Linked DNA regions of Alligator mississippiensis. The protein of the gene in region 1 interacts with the protein of each later gene in a biochemical or structural test. Links are inferred from orthologs where the notes say so. Each region holds a gene or a part of one and is shown on either strand. Other genes may lie near its edges. The genes, in order: CYTH2, ARF1 and ARF6.

Evidence for each region.
Region 2: the proteins of CYTH2 (region 1) and ARF1 are reported together in a solved structure, tested with the Homo sapiens proteins (3 studies listed by BioGRID and IntAct, with this or other methods). The link is inferred for Alligator mississippiensis from reciprocal best matches to the Homo sapiens genes CYTH2 and ARF1.
Region 3: the proteins of CYTH2 (region 1) and ARF6 form a complex in vitro, tested with the Homo sapiens proteins (3 studies listed by BioGRID and IntAct, with this or other methods). The link is inferred for Alligator mississippiensis from reciprocal best matches to the Homo sapiens genes CYTH2 and ARF6.

What each region holds. Positions count from the first base shown.
Region 1 is NC_081828.1:38,812,240-38,819,914, reverse strand, and holds the start of CYTH2 (cytohesin-2), read left to right. Parts: upstream 1-4,578; 5' UTR 4,579-4,706; coding exon 4,707-4,725; intron 4,726-7,675. Other genes in the region: KCNJ14 (ATP-sensitive inward rectifier potassium channel 14), read left to right, coding at 1-191. UniProt on the Homo sapiens protein: Acts as a guanine-nucleotide exchange factor (GEF). Promotes guanine-nucleotide exchange on ARF1, ARF3 and ARF6. Activates ARF factors through replacement of GDP with GTP.
Region 2 is NC_081828.1:214,222,398-214,229,374, forward strand, and holds the start of ARF1 (ADP-ribosylation factor 1), read right to left. Parts: upstream 3,025-6,977; 5' UTR 2,915-3,024; intron 1-2,914. UniProt on the Homo sapiens protein: Small GTPase involved in protein trafficking between different compartments. Modulates vesicle budding and uncoating within the Golgi complex. In its GTP-bound form, triggers the recruitment of coatomer proteins to the Golgi membrane.
Region 3 is NC_081825.1:297,972,641-297,980,176, reverse strand, and holds the start of ARF6 (ADP-ribosylation factor 6), read right to left. Parts: upstream 3,103-7,536; 5' UTR 2,982-3,102; intron 2,906-2,981; 5' UTR 2,718-2,905; coding exon 2,190-2,717; 3' UTR 1-2,189. UniProt on the Homo sapiens protein: GTP-binding protein involved in protein trafficking that regulates endocytic recycling and cytoskeleton remodeling. GTP-bound form plays an important role in the transport of multiple palmitoylated proteins form the Golgi to the plasma membrane.

The DNA.
Region 1 (7,675 bases):
CGGCCACCCGCGCCTCCTTCTGCTACGAGAACGAAGTGGCACTGAGTGCCTGCCGTGAGGAGGAGGGGGAGGAGGAGGAGGAGCAGCAGCCAGGGGGTGGTGGCAGTGGAAGGGGCCTGGCTAGTGACAAGGGCAAGGAGGGGAGAGCAAGCAATGGCCTGGAGGCCACGGAGATGCCCGGTGGGACATGATGGGTCAGTGGCATCAGACTGTGGGGCTGTGGAGGAGGAGGAGGAGGAGAAGGGGGAGGAGGAACGCAGCAGTGGCTGAGGAGAGCAGGGCAAAGGGGTCCCTAGGGTTCCCACACCTGAACTCTGGGCAAGGGGAACCCCCCAGCCTGTCTCCCCTGGGAAGTCAAGAGGGGAGCACCAGGGGGAGCCCAAGCCTGTCTCTCCTCTCCTTCACCCCCGAAGAAGACGGGGGGAACCTAATGCTAATGGGACAGCCCCGCCCCGCCCCATCTCTCACCTGCCCATGGGCAATATCCAGCCCCTGCCCCAGAGCCCAGCCTGTACAGACCCAGTCCCCTCTACACCCACTCCTGGGATTGTCAGGGGTTGGGGCCCCCTGTATGTAACTGGGGCTCATTGCTGCTACCTCCTTTGAGGACACTGCTGAGCTGTCCCGCTCCCCCAGCAGCCCCATCCCCGTCTTGCTCTGGCTTTTAATGGGGGAAAAGATGCTGTTAACTGGGGGTGGCACCCCCTGAAAGCTCCCCCCCTTCCCTCCCCCCCCTCCCATTCTGCTAGCCACAATGCCACTTTAGTAGCCATGTTGGATCCAGCTGCTCCCCTGCCACTTAGGATGACTGAGGATCCCCAGGGAACTGGCAAGGCTTAGGGGTCTGTTCCTGGGGGATGTGGTTGTTGGGGGCCTTGGGGTCCAGAGAGGGCCCAAGCCATTAAAGAAAAGCCACATAGCACCACTGCCCCCTGCTGGCTGGGCCTGCAGCCACCCAGCTGTGTGTCAATAGCCCCATAGTGCAGTAGCACAGAGAGGCAGGGGCCTGGGGGAGTCAGGGCAGATCTCCCCCTCCGCCCCCCACATCCCCAGATCACCCAAGTGATGCAGATAAATACAGAAATAAAGAGAGAATTTGGAGAATTCTGGTCTGTATTATTCTTGCCAAATGAGGTGTATGGGCCTCATTCCCTCCATGCCAACCCCTCACCCACTCCATTGGCTGGATGCCTTCCCACACTGGGAAACCCCAACTCCAGGGGGCCCTGGCTCACACCCAGCCCTGGCATCACCTGTCCCAATCATTGGCAGGGCATGTTTGGGTGATTTCTGGTCTGGGCCTGAGATCCCAAAACACACAGGAGGGGCCGATTCTGAAGCATGTTTACATCAAGGGATTTGCTAGATGGAGACCTGGACAGATAGCTAGAGGCATGTGTGGGGAGGGAGGGATGAATGAATGCATGGACACTCTGTGTGGCCTGGTACTGGAGAGGGCTGTGAGGGGGTGGCTGAAGTGGGTAGAAGGCTGTGGGAATGGTTGACTATCTGCATGGGACAGACCATGAGCTGTGTAGGGCTTGGAGGCTGTGTGGGCCCAATGAGTTGTGGGGTGCCTGGGGCACCTTTGTGGGGCTGGCGGGCTGGAGCAAGGTGTGGGACAGGGTGTTAGGGTGGCTAGTGGGGATGTGGGGTCAGCAGGCTACAAGGTATTTGCACGGGTTGTCGGGAGCTGTGGGGATGACGGGTGGTGACGTGTCTGTGTGGAGGTGCTGAACTGTGGGCAGCTGTGGGGCTGCAGGATAGGGCAGAGGTGCCTGAGGCATGTGGGGCTGCAGGGTGATGATGTTGGGGGCTGTGGCACATCTGTGGGCTGGCTTTGGGGTGCTGGGGCCAAGCTGGCCTGTGGGCGCTCACTGAAAGACCACGCTGGCTGGGCCAGGCCAAGCTGCTGGGGTGTGTGTGAAGGTCAGAGCAGGGAGGGACAGCTTGGAGCCCAGCTGGGAGCTCACATTAATCTGACACAGTTTCAGTCGCTAATCCCAGCTGCTTAGCGGCTGCCCCAGCAGGGGAAATGGGGCCTATTAACTTGCTCCCCCCATGCCCCCAGGCCCAGCCCAGCCCCTGCCCCATGGTCCCCACCCTACTGGCCCCTGCATTGTCCCAGCCCATGGGGCACAGCGGGTCAGAGAGGGCTGCGCTCTGCTCTCAGCACCAACTCCAGACCCTGACACTCTCAAGGTGAGGCCATGTCACAGGTGTCTCAGCTGACACCCTGGCCGGCTGATAAACCCAGAGAGGAACATGCTCTTACGCCCAAAATAACCCCTCAAGAGCCCTATTCTTAGCCTATCGGGTTGGCAGGGAGGGGGTGAGAGTGGTGCTCTCTGACAGGAACTATCCAGCGCTAAGAGGTGGCTTCCAGGGGGAGATCAGGATTCAGCCCTGACCCTGCTGCCATCAGGGTGTGACTTCAAATTGATTTCAAACTGGCCCAGCAGAGCTGACATCAGGATCTGGCCTTGATCTCACTGCAGTTAGGGGGTGACTCCAGCTTGGTCCTTGGGGGTGGCTGAGATCAGAATCAGGCCCTCCACATCCCTCCCCCTCTGGGGATGGATCCGGACAGCTCAGCCTGGGTCAACACTGTCAGGAGATGGGTAATTCAGCTTAGCAGATGTCTGGAGCAAGGGAGCCTTTGGGCTTCCTGCTCCTGGGAAGCTGCTCCCAGATAGTGCCTGATGCAGGAGGAGCAAGGTTTAAGTAAGATCTAGTAAGGTGGGGAGAATCCACACCGGAGTCAGCAACCTTGGGAGAGACCCCCATGCTGGCAGGCAGCCAGCTGTGAGCTGCAGGGTGTGCATCCACTGCTGTGCACCCAGCCCTGGCTTCCAGCTCGTACTCCCCACCTGCTAATCCCTCCTCTGGGTTTCCCCACTGGGCTCCTTCCAACTCATCACCAGTGACAAGAGGCTCGGCACGACAACCAGAAAGGCAGGAAGTGCAGACGAGGATCCACTGCAAACAGTGCCCTTGCCTCCCGACCCCCAGCCCCTACCACCCCTTGACCTCCCCCTGGTACTGCCAGTGCCCCTCCCTCCTGCCCCACAGCACTCCCAGGACCCTGGTTCCTCCCCCCACACCAGGTACACACCGCATCAGCCTAGCCCCGGAGGGTGGCCACTGGGATCTACAAAGCCTAGGGGATGCAGTTCACCCCCATGTCCCCATCAAGAAAGTTAGGCAGGGCCCTGGCCAGAACCCTGCCAATTTCGGTCCCCCTCTGCGCGATCACCCCCCTGCAGCTAGTTTCAAGCGCCCCCTGGTGACTGCCACTGGGAAAGACAGCAGTGCTCCAAAAATGACCTGATCCCCAGCATCTCTTAGTTGGGGGTGTGGAGGGAGTGTAGGGGAGGTTGAGGAGAGGGTGGGAGTGCATTGGTGGGTTAATGGGGCTGTGGGTGGGAGGGGGATGAAAAGGGCGTGGGGGTGGGGTGTGGGGATGGAGGCTGAGGGCCTGGGAAGGGGAAAGTTTTGCTGGGCTGTTCAATGGAGGGGGGATGGGGTAAACTGGGGAGAGAGGGCTGGGAGTATGAGGAGAGCTGGGGATACATACTTGGATGTGGGGAGGGATGGCAGGTACAGGGCCTGGGAAAGGGGAAGGGGTGATGGAGGGGGCTGGATGGGCAGGGGGTGGGGGCAGCTGGGTGCAGTGGAGGGGTTGGGGCTGGTGGGATGGTGATGCATGCATCAGTGAGTGGGCAGCCGAGGGTGGCTGTGGGGGTATCGGGGAAGGCAGGAGGGGTGTACGCAGGGGGTATATGGGGCATACTTGAGCTGTACATGGGAGTGTACATAGGGGGGTGTGCTGGCTGTATACAGGGATGCACATAGGGTATATGTGGGGTATGCATGGGATGTGTGTAGGGGTGTATATGGCAATATATGGGCGTACATGGGGTGTGTGTCAGGGTGTACATGGGGTGGGCCAGAGGAGTGACAACCCCTCCCCCCTTGCCCTCCCAGCTCACTTTAGCCCAGGGTTATATATTTATTTATAGTTGTATTTTATTTATGAGTCTGATTTATTACTGCTAAGAGGCCAGGGATTGACCCTAGCAACGGCCCAGACCCCTCTAGTGCCTTAGCAACGGCTCAAGCCCCGCCTGCTCCCTATCGAGTCCGTCCATTGGGCGCAGTTAGGGCAGAGGCCAGCGAAGCTCATCTCTTATTGGTTCCTTTGTGTATCATTCATAGTGACTGGCGGCCCAGGAGCAGCCCCTGGCTATTTAGCGTTCCTGTTGGCTCTTTGGACAGTTAATCCAAGCAGAGGCGGGCTTGTTGGCAATCTCGAGCACTAAATGACCGGACTTCCTGTCAACAAGTTTCAGAGCCTACTAGTGTACAATTTTCCTATACTTCATTGGTTCATTTTTCTGTCAATCTCCGCGGTGGAGCAGGTTTTGTACGAACCCTTGTCCCCCATTGGCTGCTCTAGCTATCAATCTTAAATACTGCCCGTTCATTTGCCATCCGTCCCCAGCTATTGGTTGCTGCCGGTGGGAAGGGGTGGGGATTGCAAGAATCGCGCTTTCCCATTGGCTATTGCTCGGGGAGGAGGCGGGCTATTCCCCGCAGTGCTGGGCCGGGCGGACACGAGAGGAGGAAGCAGGCGTTGCAACGGGAGAGCCGAGGAGACTAGACGCAGCGACAAAGAAGCTCCCGCCGGGGCTGGGGCGTTTACCATGGAGGACGGCGTCTATGGTAGGGGCCTGGGCCTGCCCGCCCGCGTGGGGTGAGCCGTACCATTGTATGGGGGTGTGGGCGGAACCATCCGTGAGGAGGGGCCGGGCCGGGCCAGGCCATTTCCTGCTTTGAGGTGGGGCCGGTGGTGCTTGGGCCGGACCGTTCGCCTCAGTCTTGGAAGGGGGTGGGCGAGACCATTCCTGTTGTGCTCGGGGGGGGGGGGGCTGAACCATTTCGTTCTTTAAGGGGGAGGGCGGGGGGGGTCTCTGGGAGGGTGGGACTGAGTAATTTTCTTACCTGTGGAGGGGTCGGGGGTATGAACCATTCCCTTCTCTGTTATAGGGGGCTGTGAGCTGAACCATTCCCTATGTTGGAGAGGGGAGAGAAGAGGGTGGTCTGTGCCATTCCTAGTGTGGGGCAGCGCAAACCGTTTTCTCCCATATGAAGGGGAGTGGAACTGCACCCCGCCCTTTTCTAAGAGTGTTTCTTGGCATGTATGGGGGGTTGGGCTAAACCATTCAATTCCCTGCTGAGGGAGGGAAAACCTGCAGGTTGAACCATTTCCTTCCTAATTGCATAGGGTCATGGATTGAACCATTTTTTCCCCTGTGTTGGGTGGTTGGGGATGAACCATTTTCTCTGCCCCCAACCAAACCTCTCCATTGACTTCCCCCTCCCCCCATGATGGGGGTGCTGGGTCCTTGCCCTTCTGAAGGTCCTGCCCCATCACTTAGCCCCACCCTTGATGTTTAGTCCCATCACAGCCCCTGCCTGTTGGCCCAGGAGGCCAATCAGGTACTTGGCTTGGGAACTCCTTGGGGCAGGGACCCTCCCCTGGCTGGTGCTGCTGTAGCACTGGGATTGGGGCCCAGCCCCGCCCTGGCAAGCACCTGCCCTGGGGTGCCCCTCCTCCTGCCCCATCAGGAGCACAAGCAACATGGCCACTGCCTCCTGCCCATGCTCACTTCCCAGCTCCCCTCCCTTCAGCAAGGATGGTGTGGCTCCTGCCATCTGCCTGGTGCATGCTCTTGTGTTGCCATAGTGATGCCCCTGTTTTTGGGAGGAGGGCAGGGGGGCACTTACGAATGAGTTCGCAGATAAACCACGCATCTCCTCCTCCCTACCGTGTTCCCACGGGAGCCTGCTTGTCCTAAGACCTTGATGAAATCCAGCAGGGACGTGGGCCTGGCTGGGCCCACCTGCATCCACCAGTCCAGCTTCCTGTGGTGACAGACGGCCACGGCACCTAGTCCCACAAGCTCTAGCCTCGGACCAATTTAGTCCCAGGCTGTCACTGGGAGGTCATTCCAACATCTCACTGCACCCCTGCATAGGGACCTACCTCTCCTCTTCCTTGAGCCAAACCAGCCTTGATCACTTTGCTCTTGTGCTTTGGTATCTCTTCTGCATTGAGTCATTTTACTTTAAATGCTCTCCAGAGGTGCCTTTGCTGACAGCGGTTTGGTTTGCAAGGAACGGGCTTGCTGCTGTTTGGTAGAGGAGGGTGCTGAAGGGGCCACTGTCCAAGCTGTTCTCAATGATTACACCCATATTATTGAGTTCCTTTAGTTCGTGTAGTCTAGACCAGGGCTGTCCAGCTGGTGGCCCACAAGCACAACCAGCCCTCCTCTTGCTTCTGCTTCCTGCTCCATGTGGGTGTCATGGTACCAGGGGTGTGGATGTCACTGCCCAGGCTGCCCACATGGTGGGCAGGGACCCTCACACTGCAAAGGGGTGGACCCCAGAGGACCCATGTGATGTGTGGCCCCTGGCTGCTCAGGAGTTGCACAGCCGTGTTCTAGATTATGGATTGCCCCAACATAAGTAATAGGGCCAAGAGCCGGTATCCTGAATCACAGAGATGCTGGGAAGCAGGCAGGGGTTGAACTGTGTAAATAATTGATATAATTTTTTGGTTCACTGGTCAATTGATTCATGAAATGGAAGCAATTCATTTAGGACTTGTGGTGTGTGGGGTTTTGAATGCAGTTTAAATGAACTTTGGAGCCAGCCCCCATTTGAAAAAATAATTAGAACTTACTGAATGGGTCAAACCAGACCTCTGGACTCTTTCCTTTTTCTTGTTATTTTTCTACTACAAGTGAGACAAATGTTGCACCACTGACTTCCCTGCAAACCCAGGACTGGTATAGCTTCACCCAAATATGCCTTTTTCAGGGAGTGAAATATTCAAGGTAAAGCATTTCCCCAGCAGAGGACAGGGTGCTGGCGGAAGCCAAATGGATGGGAGCTGCCTGGTCATCAGGACACAGCCTTTGCAGTGGTAATAGCTGCATCAGTAGGAAGCAGCCAGGTCAAGCCAGGATTTTATCCATGTGATTAAGGCGCACCAATGTCTATAGCCAGTGGCACCCAAGGTTGTAATATGGCTGGTATCACATCTGGGCATTTTGACTCTCCAGCCTGAGTGACCAGGTCTCCATTTGCACTTGGAACAAAGCAGTGGCCTTTAGCAAAAATCCAAAGAAGGGCTCGGCCCATGCTCCTGGAGTCATAGCAAGATCCTCAACCACTGCCACCATTCACCAAGCACCGGCTCCTGGTTAATGATTGCTTCCTTGGGGTAATAATTTACAACAATGCAGGGAATGGGACTCAGTGACCCAAGAGTACCCTGCAATCCTATGTTCCTATGTGGAAAACGCCTAGAAGACTTAGATGAGATGACTCTTGTTGGTCCAGCTATCTAGTTGTGAGAGATGTTAGACAAGCTTTTGGGCACATTGTGCCCTTCTTCAGGACCAAACTCAACCAAGAGGGCACTTTGTGCACAAAAGTGTGTCAGTTGTGTCCCAATGGTACAGTTGTTTGATCAAGGGTACAACAGTACTCCAGCCCTAGTGAGGATGCTGCACTAGTGACCCCTCTCAGAAACCACGCAGAAGAAATGAATAACTTGCCAAAGGAAAACAGGTGAAGCGGGGTTTGAGACCATCTTGATGAAGAC
Region 2 (6,977 bases), about 180 Mb from region 1:
GTGCAGACACCTACCCTGGAGATCTTCAAAAGGAGACTGGACATATGCCCTGGCGGGGCTATTTGACCCCATCAGGCTTTCCTGCCCAGAGCAGGGGGCTGGACCCAATGATGTCATGAGGTCCCTTCCAGCCCTAAACGTCTATGAATCTGTGAGCCCCATAGGCTTGATAACACCATGTCACAGGCTGGATCTGTGCTGTGGCAGATTAGCAAGCCAAAGAGTTAAATCATTCCTATGGTTTGGGGCACAAAACTGCTCTAGCACATATGATGACAAACCAAGAAAACCTCTGCAAATTTTATTAGAAAACCCTACATCCAACTAGGTTCTTATTTCCAACTTCATTTTAAGACAAGAGAAGCAATGATAAAATTCTGTTTTAAGAGTAAAATCCTGAAACACACAATTTTACCAAACGATTTTTAACTACCAGCCTTTGGTAGTTCACTAACTCACCTTCGAACTGTTGGCAGCCTAGATTTTTTTTTTTTTTTTTTATCAACTGATAAGTTTAGGGGGGAAAAAAAAGGATCAGGAAAGTTAGGGGGATGTGCACGCGCACGCACATGGTGTAATGTCGTAGAACCAACAGCACTGGGGGAAGGACATGTCATAGAACCACACATTCAGGGTTTCCTCTGTGTGCTGGACACTCCCCATTGCCCAAAAGATGAAGACTGATTTAGAACAGTGGTTCTCAACCTTTTGGAATCTAAGGCACTCCTCAGAAAATGCCAGCTCTTAGTTTTCACTTATTTTTTTGACTACAGAAAAAAAATAGTAATTCTTCTGTTGTAAAGAACTCTGAAAGACCACAACAGGCCAGAATGCTTGTAACACTACTTGAAGTCTCTGGGATGAATCTGTGAATTGTGTCTGCACACTTAACAGTGCTAACATTGCATGGTACCCCACAGCACCCTGGCTGAGAATCACCAATTTAAAGGCTGGCAGTCAATGCCCCTCTCAGGCGTTTTGATTGTAGTTTAAGTTGCCATTCAACAGGTGCAGCCCAGGTCAAAAACACTGCAGTTGGCCCAACAATAAAACGGGTTCGCTTCCACTCAAGCAGAACGCATGCCTTGGCTTGCAATAACAAACTACTTGCATGCTTGAAAACTGCAGTACTTGCTCCTCATACCATTCATGACATGAGTTCAAACAACGCATTGGTGTCAATTCGCAAACAAATATGGTAATAAATACATTAGGTGAACAGAAAATAAGTGGAAGCAAGTGGTGGCTGACATGTCACCAAATTCAAAAGCCAAAACACCAGCAGCTTCTGTTCAGATAAAGATTGGCACATGAATGAGAACTATATTAGATTTGAGAAATCAGCAGAAGTGATGCCTTATTCCCTCACTATTTTTATGTATTAGAAGCAAGAAATAAAATTAGATACTTGCACGTGGCAAGAAAAAAACTGCTGAATAATGCAAAAACACAGCTGTTGTAGTAGGAAGCTGGTCCTGAACGTCTTTGCTCATCAGTTAAGGGAGAGCGTGATGGTTGCAGATACTGATACCTTTACAGGTTTTAAACCATAACAAGGCCTTCAACAGATTTTGAAAAGTAGACTTTCTCTCTCCATTGATGGACTTACAATACGGTGATCAGATTTACCGGAAATAACGTAGATATTGGTCTACAGTTAATAAAATACATCATTAAGAGAAGAATAAAGTCTCTCTTTACCCTGGAAAGGTCACAGCTCAATAATGCTTTGCGTCCACGCTGGACACGTTTGAGAAGTTAGGAGATGGTATGTAGAAGGAAACAATCTTTCCTGACTTCAACCAACCAGCTGATTTATTTCCTTCTTCCGCTATGCAATTAAAGCACAGGAGGGGTATTGAACATCCCATTTGCACCCTCAACACAACTGCCTACCGCAGGGAATTTGCACCAGGAGATATAAGGCACAGTAAAGATTCAGCTTGCGCGTCCATCCCGTCTCCCCAGCGCACGCCTTCGCCAGGCTACTTCCGCAGCCCTCCGAAAGCCCTTTAATTTTGCGAGGAGAGGCAGCGAACGTGCCCGGCGTAAGCAAACGAGGCACGATCCATTAAGCAGGCATCGCTGGCACGGACGCTGCGAACTGAAGACGTGCGTCGAGACTCAAAAAACGGAGCAGAAACGAGCCAAGCGACGGATTTTAAACACAAACCTATCCCCCACCTCTTCTATTTCACCACACCGAGTCCCAGGGGGGGAAAACCACATCCATTTGAGCTGTCCCTAGGCAGGAAACTCGGCCAACGCACAATCGAGGTTGCCGTCTCCTGGGGCGGTAGCCAGGTACGTTATCGGCGCTCGTCCCGCCGGGCGCGACCGCTGCAACCGCGAGGGAAGCACCCCGGCTGGAGAAACGCGCGGCACTGGACAGCCCTCGAATAAACCCCTCAGTCGAGAGCGTGCCCCCCGCCGGGGGAAATAGGAAGCGGAGGGCAGGAAACCCTCAGGATCCGCAGACTGTTAAAAGTGACCTTGGGTGGCTGCTTCCCTGACTACCCCTCAGTCTTCCCCTCTGTGAAACGGGGATAATGACGGGAAGCCACCAAGGGGAGCGCAGCGGGGTGCCTTTGGGCCGTCACCCATGTCTTTGGGGGGGGAGGGGAGGGTTGCACAAGAAGTTGCACAAGCGGGTGCAAGGGCGGGTGGGGGGGCAGCAGGGCGCTGCCCCACCCCCCACGGCTCCCTCCAAGCGGGGGAAGGAAGCGCTGTTTCCCCCTTCCCCGGGAGAGTGGGGGGGGGGGGCGGCACAGCCCATTCCCCGCAGCGCCCCTCCCCCACCCCGGGCCTGCACCCGCACAGGCCGCCCCCGCGCCGGCCCGCGGGCTCCGGGGCAGGGGGAGGAGGGGAAGATAGGGCGGGGGGGAAGGACACGGCACGGCACGGCACGGCTCACCCGGCAGCGGCGGCGGCGGGTCGGAGGTGGCTCGGGGCCGGTCCTGCGCGTCTCGGCCGCTCTCCGCCCGGGCTCACAAGATGGCGGCTCGCCGCGGCCACGTCAGTGCCAGCCCCGCGCGGGGCACGACGGGAATGGGGGCGTGCTCGCCTCGGCAACGGTCGCGGGGCGGTGTTAGGGGCGGGGCCTGGCGCTGCACCGCTACAGAACGCGCCCCGCGCTGGGTGGTGACGTCAGCTCGCCTTGTCATGTGACCCCCCCTCCTCGCGCCATGTGGTGGCATGTACACGCCTTGTCATGTGTGCCTGCCCCGCACTGTGTGGTGGCATGTACACGCTGTGTCATGTGTGCCTGTCTCACACCGTGTGGTGGCATGTACAGGTTGTGTCATGTGCCTGTGTCACACTGTGTGATGTGCACACGTGTCATGTACCCACCTCACGCCATGTGATGAGCACATGTGTACCTGCCTCGTGCCATGTGGCGATGTACGCACGTGGTGACATGTACATGCCTTGTGCGTACCTGCCTCACGGTGTGTGGTGACATGTACACGCCTTGTCATGCGTACCTGCCCCGCACCACATGATGCATACATGTCATGTCGTGCATACCTGCTTCATGTCTTATGGTGACGAGCACACGCCTTGTCATGTACACCTGCCTCACGCTGTGTGGTGACGTACATGTCTTATCACGTATACCTGCCTTGCGCCACGTGATAACGTGCACCGTGCCTTGCTGTGTGTACCTATCTCACACCGCATGTTGACATGCAAACACCTTGCCACCTGTACCTATGATACACACCAGAGTACCTGCCTCACCTTGTGGTGACATGCACACACCTTGTCACGTGTACCTGCCTCATAACGTGTGGTGACGTGCACACGCCTTGTGTGTACCGGCTTCACACCGCATGCTGACACGCACCTGCTGTGCGACACACTTATGATACGCACGCCTTCTCCAGTGCATCTTTCTCACACCGTGTGGGGACACGCACCTCCCCAGTAACATGTACCCATGACACATGCATGCTTTGCTACGTATACCTGTCTCGCACTGCGCGGGGACACGCACACACCTTGCGACATGTACCCGAGACACAGGCCTTGTTGTACATGCCATTCTTACACTGGTGACACACACATTTTGCAATAATGTACCAGTCTCTCACGGCCTGGTGATACACATCTGCCTTTTGATATGTGCGCCCTCACTTTCTTGGGAGCACATGCATTTCTTGTGACAGGGAACACCCTGGTAGCATGCACATGCCTCGTCATGTACTCATCTTGTGAAAGGCACACACACACACACACACACACCTTGCAACTTGTACCCCTTGTACTGACATGCATATATCCTGTGATGCGTACTGAACTTTTGCTTACATGTTGCATGTACCCACGTCACACTTCATGAGAACACGCTTATGACGTATACCTAACTTGCACCTCATACTGACATCTGCCTGCCTTTGGGTATGATCCTGCCTTACACCTCACAGTGACATGCTTTTCTCCTGATGATGGCAGGTACACATCTTATGGGCAGCCTAATGCCTTGTGCTGGCAATACACACACATTGTGACATGTCGTTAATTCACAGCTTGTGACACGTGCTTTGAAACACGAACCCATCTTGCAACCCGGGACGGCACACGCAAGCCTTGCAGTGACCTGATCCCACCTCGCACCTTGCAGTGAGACAGATGCGCGTTATGCCTTGGGATGACATGCATAAGCATAGGTGTGTGCTAAAAGTGTCATCACGTCTCCCAGTGGCAGGACATTGGTGGCACCCACATTTTGCAGTAATTCAGGCCTGGTTTTCCTAAGGTGCTTTGTGGCTGTGACGTGTATGAGGGGCTGGACTGGGGACAGGACTTGATGGTCCAAGAAATTATTTCCAGTCTTATGCATGGCCATCTCATCCTTTCTGGAGACATGTATGTGCTTCCTGGCATGACTTTGCCTCCCGCTTTGTGCGGATACAGATGTGTTTGACACCTTTGGGAAGTCAGTTGTATGCCTTATAACATACCCCTTTCACCCTTTCTTACAACGTGTGCCTGCCTTCTGGTGACACAAACATGGCTCACCTCGTGGTGACACCCTGACTCTGTGATGGATTGAACATGCCTCATGGTGCCTGGTGCACGCCTTGTGATGATGTGGATGAACTTCATGCCTTGGGGTGACAAAGACATGAGTCACAGCTTGGTGTGACACACACATGCTTTGTGAAAGTCTCCATCCGGTGGTGCTATGTACATACATGAACCTGCCTCGCGCTCCATAGTACCACGAATGTGTTTTAGGCTTTGGGGAAAAGTGCACACACTGCGATTTGTGTCCGTCTCACAACCCAATGGAAACATGCACACGCCTTCTGGTGACACAGACGCACCTTTTGTGACACAAGCTCTCAGTCTTCCCGATGCAAAGAATGAGCTGTCAAACCCAATGGAAATAACGAGAGTGAGTTAGTATAGACGCTTTAGTGACAGAAGAGGGTGAAAGGCAAGGACAGCACCTTTACGGACCAGAACAACCAGTGCGACCAGACAACCCAGTCGTCACACGGGGATCAGGGGAAAGTGGAGTTAGGAAGCCAGGCAGTAAGTGCAGAAGAGCAGGAGGAGGAGAGGATGGGTTGGTTGAGCTGCATGCTCAGGACAGAGGAGGACCAAGGTCCCAAACAACAGAGAAAGCAGGGGAAAGGGACATAAACACTTGCCTAATACAACTTTTTTGAGTAAACATTTTCTATAGTTGCTATAGCAATGTTACATGACTGCGGATGGGAGCAGAGGATGCCCATGTAATCAGGGAGAGAAGGGAGCATGTCGCCAAGATAAGCTGTCTAGGAAACAACTGTGTACAAATTTAAGAAGGCCTGACTTAATCGGCTTTCCCTACAGTTGTTACCAGTGCTCAGGTTACACATGAACACCTCAATAAAGGCAACAGCCCAGCAATCAGGACATTTGGGCTCTGATCCTACCACCTGTGTGAGTGAACTCGGTGCAAAGTTACTTCACTTTTCTGTGCCTCAGTTTCCTCATCTGGAGATTGCTTATTTCCCCCCAGAGGTGGTACAATCACCTATCCTGGAGATCTTTAAAAAATGACTTGATGTGCACCATCTGACCCCAGCGGTCTTTCCTGGCCAAGTGCAGGGGGGCTGGACCTCCCTTGAGGTCCCTTCCAGCCCCTAACATCTATGGATCTATGAAAGTGATCTGAAAGTGCTTGCAGGACCTCAGACAGGTGTCAGATACATGGAAAGCAGTACTGCTGGTCCCAAATGTTACATCATGAGTCAGGTTTAAAGAGATCATGAAATCGGTCTAAAAATAGTAATTAAAATGACAATAATAATAATAATAATAATAACCTTGAGCTTATTTGTATTTGCTTTCTAGGTTTGGTACCTTTAAGATACGTCTGGGTCACATTTCCATGCTGTTCTCTGCAACCATGAGGCCTAGAAACTTCTTTTTTTAAGAGGAAAGCAGAGATCTGAAGCATTCACACACGACTTCTGAACTGGGGCTTTCAGGAAACAGGGATTGTGGTGAGATTTGGCAACAACTGACATATAGTTATTAAAGAGAAAACAAAACCGAGAAGTCAAATTTCACTGTTGTTGGTGGTGAACGAATGCAAATAGTGTGTAAGTTGCATAAATAGGGGGAATTGAAGTCTTACTTTTAAGAACATAGCGCCTTCAAGACACATTTGGATGCTTATCTTGCTGGGATCCTATGATCCCTGCTGACTTCCAGCCCATGGGTCAGGGGGCTGGACTCGATGATCCTCCGGGGTCCCTTCCAGCTCAAATGTCTATAAAATCTATGAAATCATTGAACCGAGGAAACATTTTTTGTAAAGGATTATTTTAACTTTGTCACTGCTGTTTCACATGGTCATCAAAGAAACACGCCAGTTGTTTGATGTGTTCTGTGTTTTAGGAACAAGTCTCTGCATACTAGGATTGCCCAGCATCGGCTCGGGATGTGGCAGTAGGCCTGTAGGCATGGGAAGGGCAGGA
Region 3 (7,536 bases), on another chromosome or scaffold:
ATAGCTAGAAAATAGGGCAATGAGCTTTCAGTTATGAGACTAAGTAGAGATCTTTCATTTCCCCATCCAAACTGGGAATTTAGGATCATTGGTTTTTAGCTAGCTTCTCCAATTGGTTTTTCATTTACACAGATTTCTTTAGGAATCACTGCTCCATTTTCTAGCATCAAGAACCCTTTCATTGCGATTTGCAATTCACACCAATTGTGTCCCTCTTTAGAGCCATTTTCTAATCACCAATTTTTTCCAAGTGGCCTTAAGCACTCAATTTTTAATCTTCCCATACATCTTTGGTAAAAAGCTCCATGTACATTATATTTAACATGCAGAGTTAAAATTGCAAAAATGTAGTGTAATGCCCCAATTTAAATGTGAATCTAATACCCTAAAAAAAGAAAAAAAAAAAAAGAGAAAAGCCATTTTCTTCTGGTTTTGTAGCATACATTCCTAGAATTCCCCAATAGACTTTAACTCCTTGAGGAAATCTGAAGTTAATCTTTAAGGCTGAATAAGAACCAGCTGCTTTACAATTTTTTTTTGCACCTAGTATTAATACTTGATTGAACTCATTTCATACCTACTCAAACACTTGGTTTTTTTGCCAGTCACAGGCATCTGAAAACTGCGATACAGCAAATGAGCTGCTTGCCCTTTAAGACCTAAATATGGAGATTTACATTCATAGTCATATACTCACTCTTCTCCCCACCCTGACTGAGCAGTTACTCACTGGATTTAAGTTCGGACAGCCAATGGAGATCCTTTCATACAGAATTATATTAACATGCTACTGGAACAGAGGGCTAAGGCCATTTGCAGCTACTTGCATTAATTAAAATTTGTGGTCTTGCAAAAACTAAACTGATAATCACTTCCTCTAAATGGTAATTATTCAAGCATTAAAAAAAATAAAAAGAAAACAAGAAAAAAAAAAACACCTTTCAGTTAAAAGCTTAGGAGTGAGCTTTCTTACTTGAGTGTTTATGGTACAGAAACAGAAGTTGTTTCTCTGCAGCTCCTTTAAAGCTACATAAAAATCACATAAGGCAAGGGGGGGGAGGGAAGGAGTCAACACAAACATTTCCTGTACTGCAAGACAAGGAAGTCAGGGTCTGATTTTTGCCCACAGTTTTGATTTTAAGTAAAAATCATCACATTATTGCTACATTTTCTGGAGATCTCTTGCATTGAAATGGGAGTCTGATGTGTAACTGATTATGATCACAAGAGTCAGTGATATTTAGCTGCAATGCAACAGGAACTGAATAGGAGTATACCCTGAAACTATTACATCATTCACGTCTTACTCACTATATGGTTGCTATGCTGTATGGGACCTACTTGCATCCCTATTCATGCATGATGTATGGTTCAGAACTTCACAGCTGACATTTCAAGCAGTTCTTACATTACCTAGTTAACATTACACCTGATATACACTTTGAACGCATTACAATGGTATTCTCACTACCTGCTGCTGTAGGCAAACATTTTTTTTTATTTCATATTAGTCTTGGAGATGAAAAAGACAAAATTTCAAGTCACTAATTACAGATCAGCAGAACTTTTTTTTTTTTTTTAAAAAAAGTCCTCCATATAAAAAGACAGACTGCGGTTTGATTTTAAGCAATCATTTTTAGTTTACTAGATGAAATAGACCTATCAACATATTCTGCATGAATGCAAGAAAGTAGCAATCTACAGCAATTCAAAGAAAAAAAAAGAGCCAGAAAGCATACACCCAGAGGTACCCTTACTCCTCCCACCCCAGAGGAATGGGGGTGGAAAAAAAAAAAAAGAGGGTAGTCAAGAAAGAATGAAAAAAAAAAAAAAAAAAAAAGAGTTACTTAGCAAATCTACAACGTGTCTTTTCCCCTTGTTTGCTGGAAGTCTGCCATAGCATCTAGTGCTTGTGTTCATGTCACATTTGAGGATTAGAGCATCCTAATGCCAAGCAAGAAGAGTTAAAATAGGAATCCAGTCAGTGTGTCGAAGAAAAGGGCGGTTGTGGGAGAAGAGGTGATCATAATCCTATGGATGCTTTGCTTTTCTGCCGAGAACTGGTCTTCTGGGAAGCCACGTGGGTTAATTCTTTATTTCTTTATTTATTCATTTTCCTTAAATTCTCCATAGCCTAAAAGAGTTTCATTTGTATGTGTGCGCGCGTGCGTGTCCCCCCCCGCCCGCCATTAGGATTTATAGTTGGACGTTAACCACGTCAGCCCTTCGTAGAGTCCGTCCCCCGTGGTGGCACAGGAGGGCTGCACGTACCAATTCCTATCCCTGATCCGCGTCAGGCCCAGTTTCTCCTGGATCTCGTGGGGTTTCATGGCGTCGGGGAGGTCCTGCTTGTTGGCGAAGATGAGGATGATGGCGTCCCGCATCTCCCGGTCGTTGATGATGCGGTGCAGCTCCTGGCGCGCCTCGTCGATGCGGTCGCGGTCGGCGCAGTCCACCACGAAGATCAGGCCCTGCGTGCCCGTGTAGTAGTGCCGCCACAGGGGCCGGATCTTGTCCTGCCCGCCGACGTCCCACACGTTGAACTTGACGTTCTTGTACGTCACCGTCTCCACGTTGAAGCCCACCGTGGGGATCGTGGTCACCGACTGGCCCAGCTTCAGCTTGTACAGGATGGTGGTCTTGCCCGCCGCGTCCAGCCCCAGCATCAGGATCCGCATCTCCTTGTTGCCGAAGATCTTGGACAGCACCTTGCCCATCTCGGCGGCATCCACGGGGCCCCGGGGTGGGGGAGGGGCGGGGGGAGGAAGGGGGGGAGGGGGCTCCTCACGGGCGCGGCCCAGCAAGGGGGGTGGGGGGGCGTGGGCCGCTGTCCCAGGCCAGGCCCGGCTTAGCCCGTCGGCACCCGGCGGCCCCTCAGCTCATGGAAGCCGGCACCGGCTCCTGCCTGCGGAGGGACCGAGAGACAAGGTGAGCGCCCGCCCGTGAGGGGCCCGACCCGGCCTCGCGGAGCAGCCCGTTACCTGCCACTGCCGCCGCCGCTCCCCTCAGGCCGCCGGAAAAGCCCGCCTCACTTCCCCTCAGCTCGCAACGCGCAGGCGCACCACGCGCCCGCCCGGCCGGACCGGCCGTTATGAGGCGGCCCCTCCCCCTCCGCGAGCGCACTGCGCCTGCGCCGCGCCCACGCACGCCCGGCCGCAAGACGCACCGCGCATGCGTGCAGCGGCTCTGGGCCTCACCGCGCATGCGGAGGAGAGGGACGCGCCAACGGTGATGCCCCCGCTGGGGTGTGCGCATGCGCTTGACGTCACTCGGGTGGGGCGAAGCCTGCTGGAGGAGGAGGAAGGCGGGCAGGGCGCCTGCGCGGCATTGCGCAACCGGAACACAAGGGAGCGGCCTTGGCTCGCGTAATTTTCCCGGGACGCGCGCTGCTCATGCGCAGAGCCGGGCGCCGCCTAAATTCGACTTCCGCCTTGCTGCGGCTGCGCCTGCTCAGTTGGGGAAGGAGGGGGCTAAAGGGAGGGTGTGCGCATGCGCGCACCGGCTGGGGTGTGGTTTCTATGGGGAGAGGCGCCACGCGATCCCACGTCAGCAGCTGCGCGCGGGGGTGCCCCGGGGTCCTCTTAAAGGGCCAGGCCGCGCGGGCCCGAGCCACGTGGGGGACGCAGGGCTGGGCCACGCCGGGCACAACATCGACCTACATATTTCCAGTGCGGTCCGTAGTGTCCAAGCCAGCCTGTCCCCAGCTCTTGGCTCTAGTCTCCTGTGTTCCTGCAGCACACAGTGACAACTGAGACCTGGCCTCTGAGCCGTGCCCTGAGTCTGACAAGCAGTGCCACGTGTCTGTCAGAGATGTCATGAGTAGCAGATACACGGGGGCAGGGCTAGCATTCAGAGTGACCTAGACAACTTGGAGGATTGGGTCAAAAGGAATTAAACAAGGACGAGTGCAAAGTCCTGCACTTGGGACGGAGCAATGCCCTGCACCGGTGGGGGCTGGGGGTGCCTGGCTGGGCAGCAGCTCTGCAGAAGAGGCCCTGGGGTGACAGTGGGCAAGAAGCTGGAGATGAGCCAGCAGTGTGCCCTCGTTGCCAAGACAGCTAACGGCATCCTGGGCTGCTTGGGTAGGACCGTTGCCAGCATGCCGAGGGAAGTGATTATTCTCCTCTACTCAGCACTGGGGAGGCCACATCAGGAGTCCTGTGTCCAGTTTTGGGCCCCCCGCTACAGAAAGGATGTGGACACACTGGGGAGAGTCAGCGGAGGGCAACAGAAATGGTCTGTGGGCTGGAGCATGTGATTTATAAAGACTGAGGGCGCGGGGTGATTTAGTCTAGAGCAGAGGAGACGGAGAGGGGATTTAATAGCAGCCTTCAACTACCTGAAGGGGACTCAAAAGAGGAAGGAGCTGGACTGGCAGATGACAGGACAAGGAGCAATGGGCTCAAGTTGCAGCAAGGGAAGTTGAGGGATATTAGGAAAAACCCTCACTAGGGGGGTGGTAAAACACTGGAACAGGTTACCCAGAGAGGTGGTGGACTCTCCATCCTTGGAGGTTTTTAAGACCCGGCTCGACAAAGCTTTGGCTGGGATGATCTAGTTGGGGCTGATCCTGCTTGGAGCAGGGGGTTGGACTAGATGTGACCTCCTGAGGTCCCTTCCAACCCTCATTTTCTATGACTATCAAGGGGTGCTGCAAGTTTATCAAGGGGCACTGACTCTATCAAGGGATGCCATGAGTCTACCAAGGGTTGCCATGAGTCTGTGAATGTTGAGAACTGATTAGAAGCACCAGGCAGAGGTTAAGGTGGATCAAGTAAAACCTAAACCAACCCATCCCACCAGCCTGGGTTATGAACTCCGAATCTATTTTGGGAGGTTTCCAGAATGCCGTCATGCTCACAACACAACACGTATGTGCTTGTGTATACCACTTATAGATTATGGTGCGTAGACTTTACATCAGGAAGGCAAATGCACATTACTATTACATTTTAAAACCCCACTAGACTACTATATAAATCAGATTAAACATTTAATGCATATTTTAATGAATGCCCTATCATTTATGTCCCAGGTGACTCTCAGCAGTCTCCTGGAGAGTTATATCTAATTCCTGGAGACTCCAGGGCAATCCTGGCAGGTTGGCAACCCGACCACCAGCATGGACTCAGTGACCATGGATTGTGTCAGCCAAATCTAATTTCCTTGTCTGACAAGGGAATGGGTCCAGGGGAAGCGGCATATGTGATGCGCTGGGGCTATAGTGAAGCTTTTAGCATTGTGACAAGACGTTCTCCTGAGCACGTGCGGGAAGCGTGGTCTATGTGAAGTCCAGTTTATATGCTGCTCTGTGCTGTCCTTTCACAGCGTCTGATGAAGTGAACTTGAGTTCATGAAAGCTAGTGCTTTATATATACATCTTATTGAGTTAGGCTATAAGGGTGAGTCTCATCCATAGTGCACCCACAGTTGTGATTCAATCTTTGTCCCCCACATGGGAGACCTGAATTTGATTCCTAGATGCAGGTGTAACTACAGCTATTGAAGCACCGAAGGTCTGGACTTTGGATACTGTCTTAATGGACTAAAGTGGGGGGATAGAAGGTCTGGCCAGCCTCCCCTCCTCCAAACTCCTCTCTGGATGTGTGTGTCAAAAGTCCTGGTGACCTCTCACACATGCACTATGATCCAGAAGGACTGTTGCCTGCTACATCAAGGATACCAGGGCACCCTGGGGTGCTGCCAGATCCTTTGAAGGGTGCCACAGGCTTATCCCTGTTTGTCCCACACTCCCACTGCTAAGCCCCTTTGCATGAAAGGGAGTAATGTATGAATCCGTTTTTGAAAGTAGGTGCTGCTCAAGTGGCAAAAGTTACACAGAGGGGTCTCGCATCCAACGTGGGGTGCCTTGAGTCCAGCAAGGTTGAGAACCTCTGGTCTGTAAGGCGTGTCTACCCTGCCTTCTACGTGAAGTCATTGTTAGACGGTTGAAAAAGCACACTTAAAAGATAGTTATCAATGTTTCACTGTCAAACTACGAGAATATTTCCAGTGGGGTCTTACTTCCCTTTGTCCTGGGCCAAGTTCCATTGGCTATTTTCATTAACATCCTGAATGATGCAATCGAGAGGGCAGTTATAAAGCTGTCAGTCTTACCAAGCTGTAAAGTGTTTCAGGTGCTCTCAAGATCATGATCAGAAATCAAAATGAACGTAATAAAGAGAGAAATTGTGTGCAAGCACCAAGATGGGATAAAGGTAAGTGCAGCATGCTATGGAAGGAGAAAGCAAGGGCACAAATACAAAATGGGGACTAACTGGATAGGCAGCAGTATTTCCAAGAAGGATCTCAAGGTTATAATGGAGCGTACGCTGAACATAAGTTAATAATGTGATTTTGTTGCATAACAGGCAAATTTCATCCTGCATTGTATTAAGAGGAATGGCCACCACAGAAGGTGGTTATTCTACTGTACTGGTGTGGGTGGAGACTTCAGATGAAATACTGGTGCGCTTTAAGTCACGCTTTAAAAAGGATGTAAAGAGACTGGAGTCCAGAAGAAAGCAGCAACCGCAAAAAAAAAAAGTGTTGCCATCATAACTTCATAGATTTCATAGACATTCGGGCTGGAAGGGACCCCGGAGGATCACTGAGTCCAGCCCCCTGCCCCAGGGGCAGGAAGTCAGCAGGGATCATAGGATCCCAGCAAGATAAGCATCCTAATGTGTCTTGAAGGCGTTCAAAGTGGGTGCTTGAACCGCCTCTGGCAGCAGTCTATTCCAAACCTTGGGGGCTCAGACAGTAAAGAAGTTTTTCCTTATGTCCAGCCTGAATCGGTCGTGGCGGAGTTTGTGACCGTTCGACCTTGGGGCGCTCTGGTGAACAGATTTTCCCCCAGATCCTGATAAGCACCCCTGATAAACTTATAGGTGGCCACCAGATCACCCCTGAGCCTGCGCTTTTCCAAGCTGAAGAGTCCCAGGGCTCTCAGCCTGTCATCATAAGGTCTGTTTTCCTGCCCTCTGATCATGCGCGTGGCTCTCCTCTGCCAACTTAAAAGGAAAGGTTGAAGAAACTGGTTTGTCTAGAAAAGACCTGATCAGCCTTTCAGAATTCAGAAGGCTGTTAAAAAGATGATTGATTATGCTCCATGCCCAAAATTGGCAGGGCAAGAAGAAAGTGGCTTAATTTGCAGCACAGAATTAGGCTGGATAGCATGAACTTTCTCTAAGGGTGGTGAAGCAGTGCAACATGTTTTCTGGCATGACGTTGTGAAACCCTCAGAGGAAGTTTTTTGAGAACAAGTTAGACAGCTGCCCTGGATTCTTAGTAGGATCAGTGCAGGGGAGGGACCATTGAGACTCTCCTGAGATCCTTTCCAGCCATGTATATCTAGGGTTGACCTGGTAGCCCCCAGAAGATCTCAAGTGCTTGCCCTTTATCGGAGGCATTGGAGGAGCAAAATTGGACGCAGCATTTCACAAGGCTTAAGCTGCACTGAGAGGTGCGACCTAACTGGGTGGATTATACCGTGCATGTGCAGACATAGTACTCCAAAGGGTTGCCACCCAGTCA